Sus scrofa: one gene and its partner. The protein of the gene in region 2 binds, or shares a complex with, the protein of the main gene of each other region. Links are inferred from orthologs where the notes say so. Each region holds a gene or a part of one and is shown on either strand. Other genes may lie near its edges.

Evidence for each region. The genes of interacting proteins can lie anywhere in the genome.
Region 1: POLR1C (region 2) and ZNRD1 share a complex: the UniProt entries of both Homo sapiens proteins name them as parts of the pol I pre-initiation complex. The link is inferred for Sus scrofa from reciprocal best matches to the Homo sapiens genes POLR1C and POLR1H.

Annotation. Positions count from the first base shown.
Region 1 is NC_010449.5:22,624,568-22,631,143, reverse strand, and holds the start of ZNRD1 (DNA-directed RNA polymerase I subunit RPA12), read right to left. Parts: upstream 4,274-6,576; 5' UTR 4,141-4,273; intron 4,028-4,140; 5' UTR 4,008-4,027; coding exon 3,872-4,007; intron 3,648-3,871; coding exon 3,547-3,647; intron 3,210-3,546; coding exon 3,100-3,209; intron 1-3,099. UniProt on the Homo sapiens protein: Core component of RNA polymerase I (Pol I), a DNA-dependent RNA polymerase which synthesizes ribosomal RNA precursors using the four ribonucleoside triphosphates as substrates. Can mediate Pol I proofreading of the nascent RNA transcript.
Region 2 is NC_010449.5:38,509,109-38,515,573, forward strand, and holds the start of POLR1C (DNA-directed RNA polymerases I and III subunit RPAC1), read left to right. Parts: upstream 1-2,412; 5' UTR 2,413-2,476; coding exon 2,477-2,560; exon of another isoform or gene 2,561-2,632; coding exon of another isoform or gene 2,633-2,665; intron 2,666-2,686; coding exon 2,687-2,758; intron 2,759-6,465. Other genes in the region: protein YIPF3, read right to left, coding at 1,010-1,116, 1,308-1,505, 2,100-2,180. UniProt on the Homo sapiens protein: DNA-dependent RNA polymerase catalyzes the transcription of DNA into RNA using the four ribonucleoside triphosphates as substrates.

The DNA of each region.
Region 1 (6,576 bases), about 16 Mb from region 2:
CCTGTCATTGCTCAGCAGTTACAAATCGGACTAGTATCCATAAGGACGCAGGTTTGATCCCTGGCCTCACTCAGTGGGTTCAGGATCCAGTGTTGCCATGAGCTGTGGTATAAGTCACAGATGTGGCTCAGATCTGGCATTGCTGTGGCTGTGGTGTAAGTCAGAAGCTGCAGCTCTGATTTTCCCCCTAGCCTGGGAACTTCAATATGCCATGGGTGCACCCCCCCCAAAAAAAAGACAAATAAATTTTAAGAAATTAGCTTGCAAATTATGAAGGATGCCAAGATCTCTTAGAAAACAAAAAAGCACTCGCCATAAAAGAAAAGAAAAAAAAAAAAAAGATAAACCAGACCTCATAAAAATTAAAAACTTATGCTCATTAAAAAAAAGTTAGAGAGTTCCCGTCGTGGCGTAGTGGTTAACGACTCCACTAGGAACCATGAGGTTGCCGGTTTGATCCCTGGCCTTGCTCAGTGGGTTAGGAATCCGGCGTTGCCGTGAAATGTGGTGTAGGTTGCAGACGCGCTCGGATCCCGCATTGCTGTGGCTCTGGCATGGGCCGGTGGTTGCAGCTCCGATTGGACCCCTAGCCTGGGAATCTCCATATGCCGCAGGAGCGGCCCAAGAAAAAAATACGCAGAAAAAATAATACCATTAAAAAAAAGTTAGAAAATAAATAGGTCAGACTGGGGAAAAAATGCTCTCAAAAGATATAACCATAAATATTTTAATCCATTAATGAGATGTCAAGAAAGTAAAGGCAATCTTCACATTGGGTGAAGTGATGTAAAACCAGAAACCTAGAAGGTAAGTTAAAACTGAAGCCCTGGGTGTTCCCTGATGGCTCAGTGGGTTAAGAATCCCCTCTTGCTGAAGCTGTGACCAGGGTCACAACTGCGCTATGGGTTCAACCCCTGGCCCAGGAACTTCATATGCTGCTGGCACAGACGAAAAAAGGAAACCATCCTCCTCCCAGCTCCCAAGCCCTTGCTGCTTTGACAGCCACATGGAAGAACCAGAGATGAACCTGCAATATTGATAGGAGATACTCTGTCTGCATAAGTCTGAGCTCCCCAAAGGGCTTACCCTTCTGTATAAAAGTGAGCAAGAAAAAAAAAAAAAATTTTCTCTGCTGAAGAGAAATCTGTCTCACTAGGTAGAGGGAGGAAAAAAAAGTCCCCTGAGAATTTCTAACCATAACCTGGCCTTTATACTGGATTTGCAGCCAAAATCCATGTTACCTAGGTGCTCCCAAAGCTGAGAATTAACTTAGTGATTCCGCCTTGGTACTGCCTCAAGGCAGCTAAACAGTAAACGCAAATGCTGAATATACAGCATTCACCACAAGCCTCAAAGAATTCCCATAGTTCAAACTTTTAAAAATCTGAGCTTATAGTAAAAAAAGCACAAAACAAAAGCAGCACCATGAGGGAGTCAGCAGAAATAACAGATGGCAGCATCAGACCCACAAAAACAGTGGGTTTGAGAATTAACAGACATAGAACATAAATATCATGTTTAATGTTTACATGTAATATGTTTTATGAATAAAAAGAACCACTTAAAATATGATTAAGGAATTGGGAATTATTAAAAATAACTAAGATGATTTGAAAAATAATCAGGATTTCCCTTGTGGTGCAGTGGGTTAAAGTCCAGCACTGTCACTGCAGGGGCTAGGGTTTGATCCCTGGCCCAGGAATATCCACATGTTGCCGGCATGGCCACAAAAAAATCAAACAGAACTAAAAAATCTATCCAGAAACAGCATAAAGAGAAAAGAGATGGAAAATATGGGAGACAGGGTGAGAGAAATGGAGGATAGAAGATAAGGCCTAATAAAGAGCTAATCAGTTAGAACTCTAAGAATATGAGAACTGAGCATATGAGGGAAATATTCAGTGTGATAACAGCTGATAATTTTCCAAGGTTGATGGGGGAAAAAAGGTCAACCCTCACTGTTGGAAGGCCCAACACATCCCAAACAGGATAAATAAAAGAAAGCCACATCTTGATAGATTGTAGTGAAATTGAAGGACACCAAAGACAAAGAGGAATTCTTAAAACTATGTTTTAAAGAACCCATGTTCTGGGAGTTCTCGTCGTGGTGCAGTGGTTAACGAATCCGACTAGAAACCATGAGGTTGTGGGTTCGATCCCTGGCTGCTCGGTGGGTTAAGGATCTGGCATTGCTGTGAGCTGTGGTGTAGGTTGCAGTCTTGGCTCGGATCCCACATTGCTGTGGCTGTGGCGTCGGCCAGCGGCTGCAGCTCTGATTAGACCCTAGCCTGAGAACCTCCATATGCCTCGGGAAGCGGCCCTAGAAAAGGCAAAAAGACAAAAAAAAATAAAGAAATAAAAATAAAGAACCCATGTTTTTTAAATCATCCATGACTGACTCTCACCAAAGTAAAACTACCTTGAGGGCAGTGGAGGAGTCCAACATAACACACTGATCACAAACCAATACTCATTTCCTTTTAACTATTGTAAAAGGTTTAATTCACTGGGTATAAAAAGATAGGAAAAGAGTAATTATTTAAAATTTAAAAAGACCACAGAACTTCCCATCGTGGCACAGCAGCACAAGCAAATCCGACTAGGAACCATGTGGTTCAATCCCTGGCCTCACTCAGTGGGTTAAGGCTCTGGCATTGTTGTGAGCTGCGGTGTAAGTTGTGGACGCAGCTGGGATCCGGTGTTGCTGTGATCTGGCGTTGCTGTTGCTGTGGTGAGGCCAGAGGCTACAGCTCGGATGTGACCCCTAGCCTGGGAATCTCCATATGCCACGGGGTGCAGCCCTAAGAAGGAAGGAAGGAAGGAAGGAGGGAGGGAAGGAAGGAAGGAAAGAAGGAAGGAAGGAAGAAAGAAAGAAAGAGAGAGAGAGAGAGAAAGAAAGAAAGAAAGGAAGGAAGAAAGAAAGAAAGGATGGAAGGAAGGAAGAAAACGATCACAAACCTATTACTTGAACTGTACAGAAATGAAGGATGCGACCAGTCCAAAAAGTACAAAAATTAAACCACTGGATTTAAATTAAATCACGGGATTTTGGCAGCAAAGAGACCCAGAAGGGGCAGAATGGAGGGAAAGGATACGCACTTGCAGTTGGTACAGGTGTAGAAGACAGTCTGCCCTTCATCGGCTGAGCGCATCTGTCTGGTGTGGTATGCCATTCCCTCATGACCACAACGAGGACAGCGCCTGTCAACCTGGGAAGCAACTGGTAGGTTAATAATTCCCACTACTTCTCACAGACATCAAGCTACCACACTCCTCAGATACTGCTGGTTTTTGTTTTGCTGCACCTGCAGTACGTGTAAGTTTCCAGGCCGAGGATCGAACCCGTGCCACAGAAGCGACCTAAACCGCTGTAGTGACAATGCCGGCCAGATCCTTAACACCCGGCTGCACCACAAGAAAACTCTCCCCAGTCACTACTGTTTTAAAGACTCTTCTTCCCTGTTGTGTACAAAACTCTCCAGATCTGAGCCCTCCGTTTCGTTCCCACCCTCTTTACAGGGCCAGTCCTCGACGTGATTCACTTACCACGGGTCCCTGGAACTCAGGTCCTTCCTCCATCGACATAGGCATGGCTGTCCCCACTTTCTGGAACACAACTGAGGTCTTCACAACCTTCCCCTCAAAGTCTGCGCGGGCAGTAAGAATTGGTTGTGGAGACAGCGGAGGGGGCTGACACCACACTAATCCCTCTCTGTTAGGCCAGGAAGCTATATTCTACCCATCAGGTTTCGTGCCGACCAAAAGTATAAGTGCCTGATCCTGCGCTTTCGGGTCCCCGTCTTTAATCCAATCGATCTTGAGATCCCCATGGGCCCTCCTCCGCCCCAGCCGCGGCGTAGCAGCACCTCACCCCGCACGTTGATGGAGAAGCCACAGCGAGTACAAATGACCGCATCCTGAGTCCCGGGCAGAGGCAGGACCGAGCCGCAATCCGGACAGAAATCCAAGTCCGACTGAAAGCTAGAGGATGTGCGGGCGAGGTCCATGACAGACGGGTGGTCGAGGGCTGGGAAGGGGATGAGGAGTTTATTAAGAGAGTAGCCCCTTCCCCAGAGAGGTCATGCCTATTCTGTCCCTGGACGTAAGCATGCAGAACCCGAGATTTCTTCCTACGCATACCTTGTGCCTCTGTGACTAAGGAGCCCAAACTTCCGGAATCCCTATCCCGCGTCGGGTACAACTACGCTGGGGGTCTTTCCTGGGGCAGGCGAGAGGAGCAAGTCAACTTCACGGGCTAGAGCGCCGGCTCCGCGCGGGCAACCGAGCAGCGAGCGCGTGGCGGGCTAGAGAGTCCACGCGTCCCGGCTCTCGATTGGCTGTGACGTCATAATTAATTGCAACTGTGATCCCGAGAGCCTGGAGAGGGAGAGGAGCGGTTCTGAAGGAAGATTGTGGCGCCCCCTTCAGCCTGGTTCTGTTACGTTGGATACGAAAATAGGTGACGAAGCTGCGCCTGCCTCAGGTTATTTTTTCCCTTCAGGACTCAGTCCTGGGATGTTTATTTTATTGGTCTCGAATTTTACCAGGACCCAGTCGCGGGGAGCGTTTCTCCTGAGAAGTCGGACCAACCTTATAGAGTACTAATTTATTTATTTGGACTGGAGAACTGCAAACTCCAGCGGTTCCTGAATCTGCACTTCACTGTGGCGGTTGGACAGTGGTAGAAAACAAAGCGAAATATTCTGGGAGTAATTCTAGCATTCTTTGGGCCTTGCGACCCAAGCAAGGGCTCTCTGCAGGACCCGGTATGGCTCATGTGCTTTGGTGGCTGTTGCCTTGTCTATAGTGTAGATCACAGTTGCAGCTTTGATTCAGACCCTAGCTTGGGAACTTCCATATACCACAGGTGCAGCCTTAAAAAGAAAAAAGAGAGAGATCATGGTATTTGTAGATTAAAAATCATAGTTCCCACTCTTTATATGTTTAAATTTCAGCATCAAAATGTTTTTTGTATTTTGAGTTCATGTTGTGGCACAGCAGAAACAAATCCGACTAGAAACGATGAGGTTGTGGGTTCGATCTCTGGCCTCGCTCAGTGGGTTAACGATCTGGCTTTGCTGTTGCTTGAGCTATGTTTCGTTTTGTTCTTTTGTTTTTCCTTTTGTTTGTTTGTTTGTTTGTTTGTTTTGTTTTGTTTTTTGTTTTTGCTTTTTTTTGCTTTTTAGGGCTGCACTTACAGGATATGAAGGTTCCCAGGCTAGGGGTTGAATCAGAGCTACAGCTGCCCACCTATGGCACAGCCACAGCAACATAGGATCTGAGCCATGTCTGTGACCTACACCACAGCTCAGGGCAAGGCCAGATCCTTAACCCACTAATCGAGGCCAGGGATCAAACCCGCAACCTCATGGTTCTTAGTTGGATTTGTTTCTGCTGCACCACAACAGGAACTCCCATGACTGATTTTCAAATAAATTGTAGAAGTTATATTTTTTACTTCTATTTTTTACTTTGTATTCATCGGAAGGCAAAAATCACTGATACAGGAGTTCCACTCTATGGCAAAATGGGATGGGCAGCGTCTTGGGAACACTGGGACAAATGTTCAATCCCTGGCCTGGCACCATGGATTAAGGACCCAGCTTTGCCTCAGCTGGGGCTTAGGTTGCAACTGTGGCTCAGATCTGTTCTCGGCCCAGGAACTCCATATGCTGCGGGGTGCCAAAAAACAAAAACCCAAAACCTCACTGATACATAGAGTAGACTGGGCAGACTTAATAGTCTGGAGCTTGACCTATGGAGGATAGACAACTGCCATTTATTGAGACCTTACTGTATTTTAAGCATTGTGCCAGGCTCTTTAATCTAATTGTCACTTATTCTTTATAACCCCAAGAGGTACATTTTTTCAACGAGGAAACTGTTTAGAGAGAGATTGTTACTTGCCCTGAATCACACACCTGGGAATTAAAATTCAAGCATAGGCCTGTCAGGCTCCAAAGCCCATGCTCTAAACCATAACTTGTATAAATAAAGGCGTAGAGATGAAATGCCAGGCATCCTCAGTGGCTTAGCTACGACCTCACAGTAGACCAGAGATGACACACAAAACCTGATAGTCCTCACTTGTGTTGCCATCAGCCTGTCCTATAAATAAACCCAGAGTAACCACAAATTTTCATCCCAAGGAGGTCAACAGGGAATGGCCTCATAATGGATTTAGGGTAAAGGATGATTGGCAGAGTAAAGCAGACAAGCAGACTGGTGGTTGATCAAATAAGAACAGAATTTCACCATCAAATAGCAGAATATCAGAACGAAAGATTATAGGGTAGAGATGCTGTATGTTGTGATAGAGGCAGAGAGGGCCCGGCTCCAGAAACTGCACAAAGAGAATGAACTGATAATACCAAAGCCTAGAATTATCTCAGAAGACAACAGAAGCTATGGGACTGAGCAATATGTCAGAGATGGGCTTGGGCATTGCTTCACCAAGAAGCCTGTCTCTTCCTTCTCCCAATCCCTGGTGCAAGATTCAGAATGGTTCGCCTTGAATCCACAGGAGAAGTATGCTGTTAGTTTATATGAAAGGATTACAGTTGGCCCTCTGTATAT
Region 2 (6,465 bases):
TGAGCATTTTCTTGAAAAATGTACTTGAAGTAATATGAACATTGCAGGTAGAAGGAATAAAAGTACCAATCACTTCTCCACTTCTTAAGTGACTGGCTCCTAATAATACCTTGGATCTTGGCTAGATTTTTACTTTCTCTTCAAAAGCTGCCCTGTCCCACCCTCCAGCCAACCCCTCATCAGGTGTCCCTCCTACATGGCAAATGAGTGCTCCACGGCTGTGCCCGAGGATAAGGTTCCCATTTGTCGTCACCACTAAATCAGACACAACTGTAGGATCTGACACAGAGCAAAAGCTTAGTAAATACTTGTAGAGTGGTACTGGGTGTTTGATAAGCATTAGCTGAATTAAAGGATGAACAAAGAATCAAAGCAAGATTAAATCTGGTTTTTGAAACATAACTTGACAACAATGTACCAATGGTCTGGTTCAGAGACTATTTTAGTGCTGGGAATAAAAAGACAAGGAGGAGTTCCCACTGTGGTGCAACTCGATCGGTGGCAGCTCTGGAGCACTGGTTCAACCGCCCAGCCCGGAAGAATGGGTTAAGGATCCAGCATTGCCACAACTGCAGCATAGGTTGAAACTGCAGCTGGGATCTGATCCCTGGCTGGGGAACTCCACATGCTGTGGGGTGGCGACAAAAAGAAAGAAAAAAGATAAAACAGAGCCTGCTTTTTGAGGAGGTCTCTGGGGAGACAGACCCAGGAATGACAAAGTACAGCATCGCTGAAGTGCTGTCTGCTAAAGGAAAGCAAAGCCCTAGTGGAGCATCAGGAAAGGAAAGGATAAACTTGGAACAGGGAGCAAAGGAAGTGACATTTGAGCTAGGTTTTGAGGAAAGATGAGAAGTTTGCTAGATGGAGAAGAGGAGGAAGGTGTGTTCTCGCCAAGCCCTGTTCTGTGACTGGAATCATGAAGAGGGGATTCTAAGGGCTTGGAGTCTGCTTGTAGAGTGGATGAAGGGCTAGATGTCAGGAAGGCAGCTTCGGTCAGGAGGATCCTCACCTGCTTCGCACCTGTGCAGGCTCCACATCAAAGTAGGGTCTCAGGATGTCGATGTTGGCGTACAAGCTGAAGGCCCTAGAGGCTTGTCTCTTCCCCGCCTGCCACATCTGAAGCAAGGAAGACCGGGTGGGGTGGGAGGGTATCGTGAGACTCTTGGCTTTAAGGCCCTTTTGCTTATTTCTTGTTGGATCTCTACATGGTTCTAACTGGACAAGCTGGGGTGAACTTCACTAATACCAACTCAGAACCAGAGGCCTCAGGATACTTTTCCACCTGTCAGAGAGCCAGTCTTGCTTACCTGATCAGCCACCTGCCGGCTCAGCTGTCCCTTAAAGCCCTTCATGCCCAGAAACTCCCCATCCTCTTCTTCAGCGGCAGCTGCATCAGCATCCACTTCTTCCTCACGCAGGCGCTGATGCAGCTCACCCATATCCTCGAAGCTGGAACCTGAAGTATCATCCATGTTCTCCATGTCAATCACAGCTGAGCCCCCACCCTGTGAAGACAACGGATCCCACAGTGGAGGACCTTTCTGCTCCATCCGTTATGTCCTTCTCTGTTCACCGGAGAGCTTGGAGCTTTGTCCTTTCACTGCTGGAGATACGGCTTAGAATTACCATAGACCATGCCACTCCCCTCCCCTCAACTGCTCTCAGAACCTTTGTTTGGCTCTCTTTTCCAGCCTGGGAAACCTACTCCCTGTCTTCCATACGTGTCCTTTTCCTACCAAAGCCACAAAAGGCTGCAAAAGTGCCCATTTCCTTTGTGTTTTCCACCCCAAAACAAGGCTGCGCGCACAGTGTGGTTTTGGCCAGTGAATCCCGCCTACCCCCCATCCCACCCTCGCCCCTGGCCGTGCCCGACCTTCTAAGTTGTGCGGAAAGCAAGAGCAAGGGGGCTCAGAGGTACTAGTGTGGACCTTTTAGGTCCGCACTAGTTCCACTGCCTTTCACGTGCACGAAGACCCAAAGAAGACAAAAAGTTCTGCAAACGGAGCAGACTTCCAAGGCTCGAAGGAAGAGTCCCCATGACACTTCAGGACAGCTGCAGGCCGTGGGGCTGCTGGCAGCCGGAGCCGTGGGGCGCTTACCTGGATGTTTTCATCGAATCCTCCCCATTCCGGGCCAGCCCCATTTCGGGCGCCGCCGGCCGGCGCCGCCGGAGTTGCCATGTCCCTCGAGGGCTCCCGTCGCTGAAGCCCGCGCTAGTCCCGCGCGCTGAGGAGGAGTGGGAGAGATGAGGGCCTGACGGATGGACAGGTCCAGGGACTAGAAAGAAAGGTGGGATCGGCCGGAACGCAAAAAGGAGAAAACCGGATGTTTGGTTAAAACTGACTTCCGGTATCTGAGGACGTGGACGGAGGCGGGGCAGATTCTCGCGATATTTAGGATTCCGGGAGGTGGTGTGTTGCCACGGAGACGGGGCAGGGAGACTAGAACGCACGCGCAGGCTTGGTACTCTAGTCACATGGTGGAGTTGAAGATGGCGGCGGCTCAGGCTGTGGAGGAAATGCGGAGCCGCGTGGTTCTAGGGGAGTTCGGGGTTCGCAATGTAAGTCTTGTGGACTTGACCTCGGGAGGAGAAATCAGAGCGGAGCAGGGATGAGTTAGAGTCGGAGTGGGGATGAATTTGGCCTCGCTGCTCCTTCGCGAACAGGTTCGTTTCTCTTTGCTCTAGGTTCATACTACCGATTTTCCCGGTAACTATTCGGGCTATGATGATGCCTGGGACCAGGACCGCTTCGAGAAGGTGGGTAGAGCTGGAGGTGTTCAGAGAGGGTATGAGGATCGGATCTTGCACTCTGAACATCCTGTTCCTCGGAAACTGCCTTGGGGGTTCGCTCTGGATGTGTTAGGCACTCGATGTGCACAATTTCTGCTTTGTTCTACAAGCTAACGAGATGGTTCGGTCTTTTTGGAAAAGAGTACAGGTAACACGACTCTAGTGAGTTGTGGTAAGGGCGATTAACAGCAATAAAGATTGAAGCTGCACTCCCTTTCGGGTGGGACTCGAACTCAGCCAAAACCCCCATTGGAACTTGAACCCATGGTCCCTGACGTAGGAGGGGACTCAAACCCACTGTCTTAATTGATACCGCTCACCTGCTATCGTCAGGACTTCCTGAGCCTCAGGTTTTGTCTCGTGGGAAAAAGAATTCAGCGTGAGGCAAACCGATACACAATAAGTGAATTTATTAGCATAGGACGCTTGTCAGAAATACTAATGAGCAGGCAAGGGAGTGCGACCCAGAGAACAAAGAGGGCTACATTTTTATAATCAAGGTGAAAGTGGGGCGGGGAGAAGACCACCTTATTTCTCATTCTTGGGTAAGATGGTCCAGGCTTGCATCATCAGTTCCTCCTTTGACCCTATATGGTCTAAGGGGGAGTGTCATGGGCTGTTTAAATCATAGGTATATTAGCAGAAGCGGTAACATATGCGAAAATGTGGTAATTCGTTTCAGGTTGCAGAATAATTTCCCCTTTCACCTAGTTTTTTCCCTCTTTCACCTTGTCTACATGCAGCAATGCCAGTCTTCAAGGACCAATAACTCTGACTTCATGTAACAAGATTGAAACCCCATATCTCTTGTCTTGGGTTTTAACTATCAGGACTTGTGGCTTGTTTCTGGTGCTTAGATACACCTGGTCTTCCTTCAAGGTGGTGTAGATTGTTGCTAAGTTACTGGATTCTTAAGTGGTCGGTTGTTGGCTTACAGCAGTCTTCAAACCCCCTTAACATTTCCTTTTTGTCTTTAAACCCTAGTGGGACTTCTAAACTATGTGATTATCCTACTCTATCCCCATCATTCCTTCCTCCAGCTGTTTTACTCCATTATGCTTAAATGAGCAAATAGGGAGAGACCGATCATTAGCTGCTTCCTCCTGAGATGGGTCATAGGTCTGTCTAGAGAAGGAGCATAACACCTGTCCCTCCTCTGTTGGGAAAATAATAAGCCAATGCTGCTTGTTAGTGTTAACCTTGTGGCTTCTGTTGATCTTCCGCATCAGATGATAAATCTATTAAAGAAATCAAGAGAAACGCAGCAGTAAGCAATTAAAAGAGATTGTAGCCAAGATTTTGGGGATCCATTCCTTCATTCCTCCAAAAGCCCTCCCAAATCTGGAAGAAGGCAACTGAAGGTCTCAATCTGTGTTTGTGTTTTAGCACTTGAAATACATTAGCAGATTCATCAAGAATAAAAGCACAAGATTCCACCTTAATGATGGCACAGTTTCCTTCCTGGGAGGCTGTAATAATGTCTAAGGCTATCCTGATTTGTAGAATGGCTTTTCTCATTAAAGTCATTTCAACATTGGGTAAAGAAATAGCATCCAGGAGTTCCCATCGTGGCGCAGTGGTTAACGAATCTGACTAGGAACCATGAGGTTGCGGGTTCCATCCCTGGCCTTGCTCAGTGGGTTAAGGATCCGGCATTGCCATGAGCTGTGGTGTAGGTCACAGATGCGGCTTGGATCCCGCGTTGCTGTGGCTGTGGTGTAGGCTGGCAGTTACAGCTCCTATTAGACCCCTAGCCTGGGAACCTCCATATGCTGCGAGAGCGGCCCAAGAAATAGCAAAAAAGACAAAAAATAAAATAAAATAGAAATAGCATCCAGCATAGTCCACCTTAATGATGGCACAGGTTCCTTTCTGGGAGGTTGTGATAATGTCTGAGGCCATCCTGATTTGTAGAATAGCTTTTCTCATTGACGTCATTTCATCGTTGAGTAAAGAAATAGCATTACCTTCTTTTTTTTTTTTATTTTTTAAAAAAATGACTTTCATTCAAAGTCTCCTGTGTAAATTTTGTTAAAGTTTCAATATGAGCTGCAACATTTTCAAGACCTAAACCTGGCGTAAAGATGTTTAGCAAGTGATCATACCAATGAAAAACAGACCAAGTCCATTTTGCTTTTAGCAAGGGGAAGTTGGCAGGAGAATAATTCAGAGGATAATAATCATAATGCATATTTGTACTATTCTTTGAATGTATTTTGTTCCTTAATAGTTAAAGCAGATGTACTTCCTCCCTCTCTATGTGCTTTTTAGGGCCTCACCCTCAGCATATGGAAGTTCCCAGGCTACAGCTGTTCTCAGAGCTACAGCTGCCTGCCTCCGCCACAGCAACTTGGGATCCGAGCAGTCTACACCACAGCTCATAGCAATGCCGGATCCCTGATCCACTGATTGAGGCCAGGGATCAAACCTAAATCCTCATGGATGCTAGTCGGATTTGTTTCTGCTGTGCCACAATGGGAACTCCCACAATATATATTTAATAGGCCACAAATAGGCTGTTTTGGGTCAGCCTAGATTTCAAATTAAGTAATGTATAAGCCAGAATCATTTCTTCATACTTGAATATGTGAAAATTTTCTTCCATCATTTCCCCCATTTAGGTGTAAATCTCTCCATAGAAGGTGTTGGTTTTTTCATTGTTGCTAGGAGTGATGCAGCTGCTTGCTTCTGGTCCATTCATGTCCCTTGGTGCTAGGCTTACCCTTTTTTTTTTTTTTTTTTTTTGGCTTTTTAGGGCCGTACACATGGCATATGGAGGCTCCCAGGCTAGGGATCCAATCAGAGCTACAGCTGCCAGCCTCCGCCACAGCCACATCAACCTGGGATTTGAGCCCTGTCTGACACGTACACCACAGCTCAGGGCAATGCCGGATCCTTAACCCACAGAGCAAGGCCAGGGATCAAAGCCACAACCTCATGGTTCCTAGTTGGATTCATTAACCACTGAGCCTCCACAGGGACTCCCTAGGCTTACTTTTTGTTATTTATGTTTGCCTAGTTCTCCACATTGGGAGGAAAACTAATCAGATGTGACAAACCAGTACAAAGAGGTGTGCTGACAGGGAAACATTTTATCGGTTATACCCAGCTGTCACTCAAGCACTTATACATCATGAGTAATTGTAATCTGTGGAAACTCCATTAGAGGCACAGCAGGTTATGGATTCAGCCTTGCCACGGCTTTGGCACAGGCTGCAACTGTGGTGTGGCATCAATCCCTGGCTCAGGAACTTCCACATGCGGCAGCCACAGCCAAGATAAAGAAAAACAGGGGTGAGGGGAGGAGTTCCTTTTGTGGCTCAGAGGTTAACAAACCCAACTAGGATCCATGCAGATGCGGTTTGATCCCTGGCCTCACTCAGTGGGTTAAGGATCCAGCGTTGCCGAGAGCCGTGCTGTAGGTCGCAGACGTGGCTCGGATCTGGCATTGCTTTGGCTGTGGTGTAAGCCGGCAGCTGTAGCTTCATTTTGACTCCTAGCCTAGAAACTTCCATATGCTGCAGGTACAGCCCTAAAAAGGAAAAAAAAGAAAAAGGGGGAGAAAGGAAAACTCCGTTAGAAAAATAGTTTCCTATTTTAAACACTGAGGGCAAGTGTCATTACAAGTGGGACAATAACTTTCTGGTGCTGATAAGGGAGACAAACATCTGACA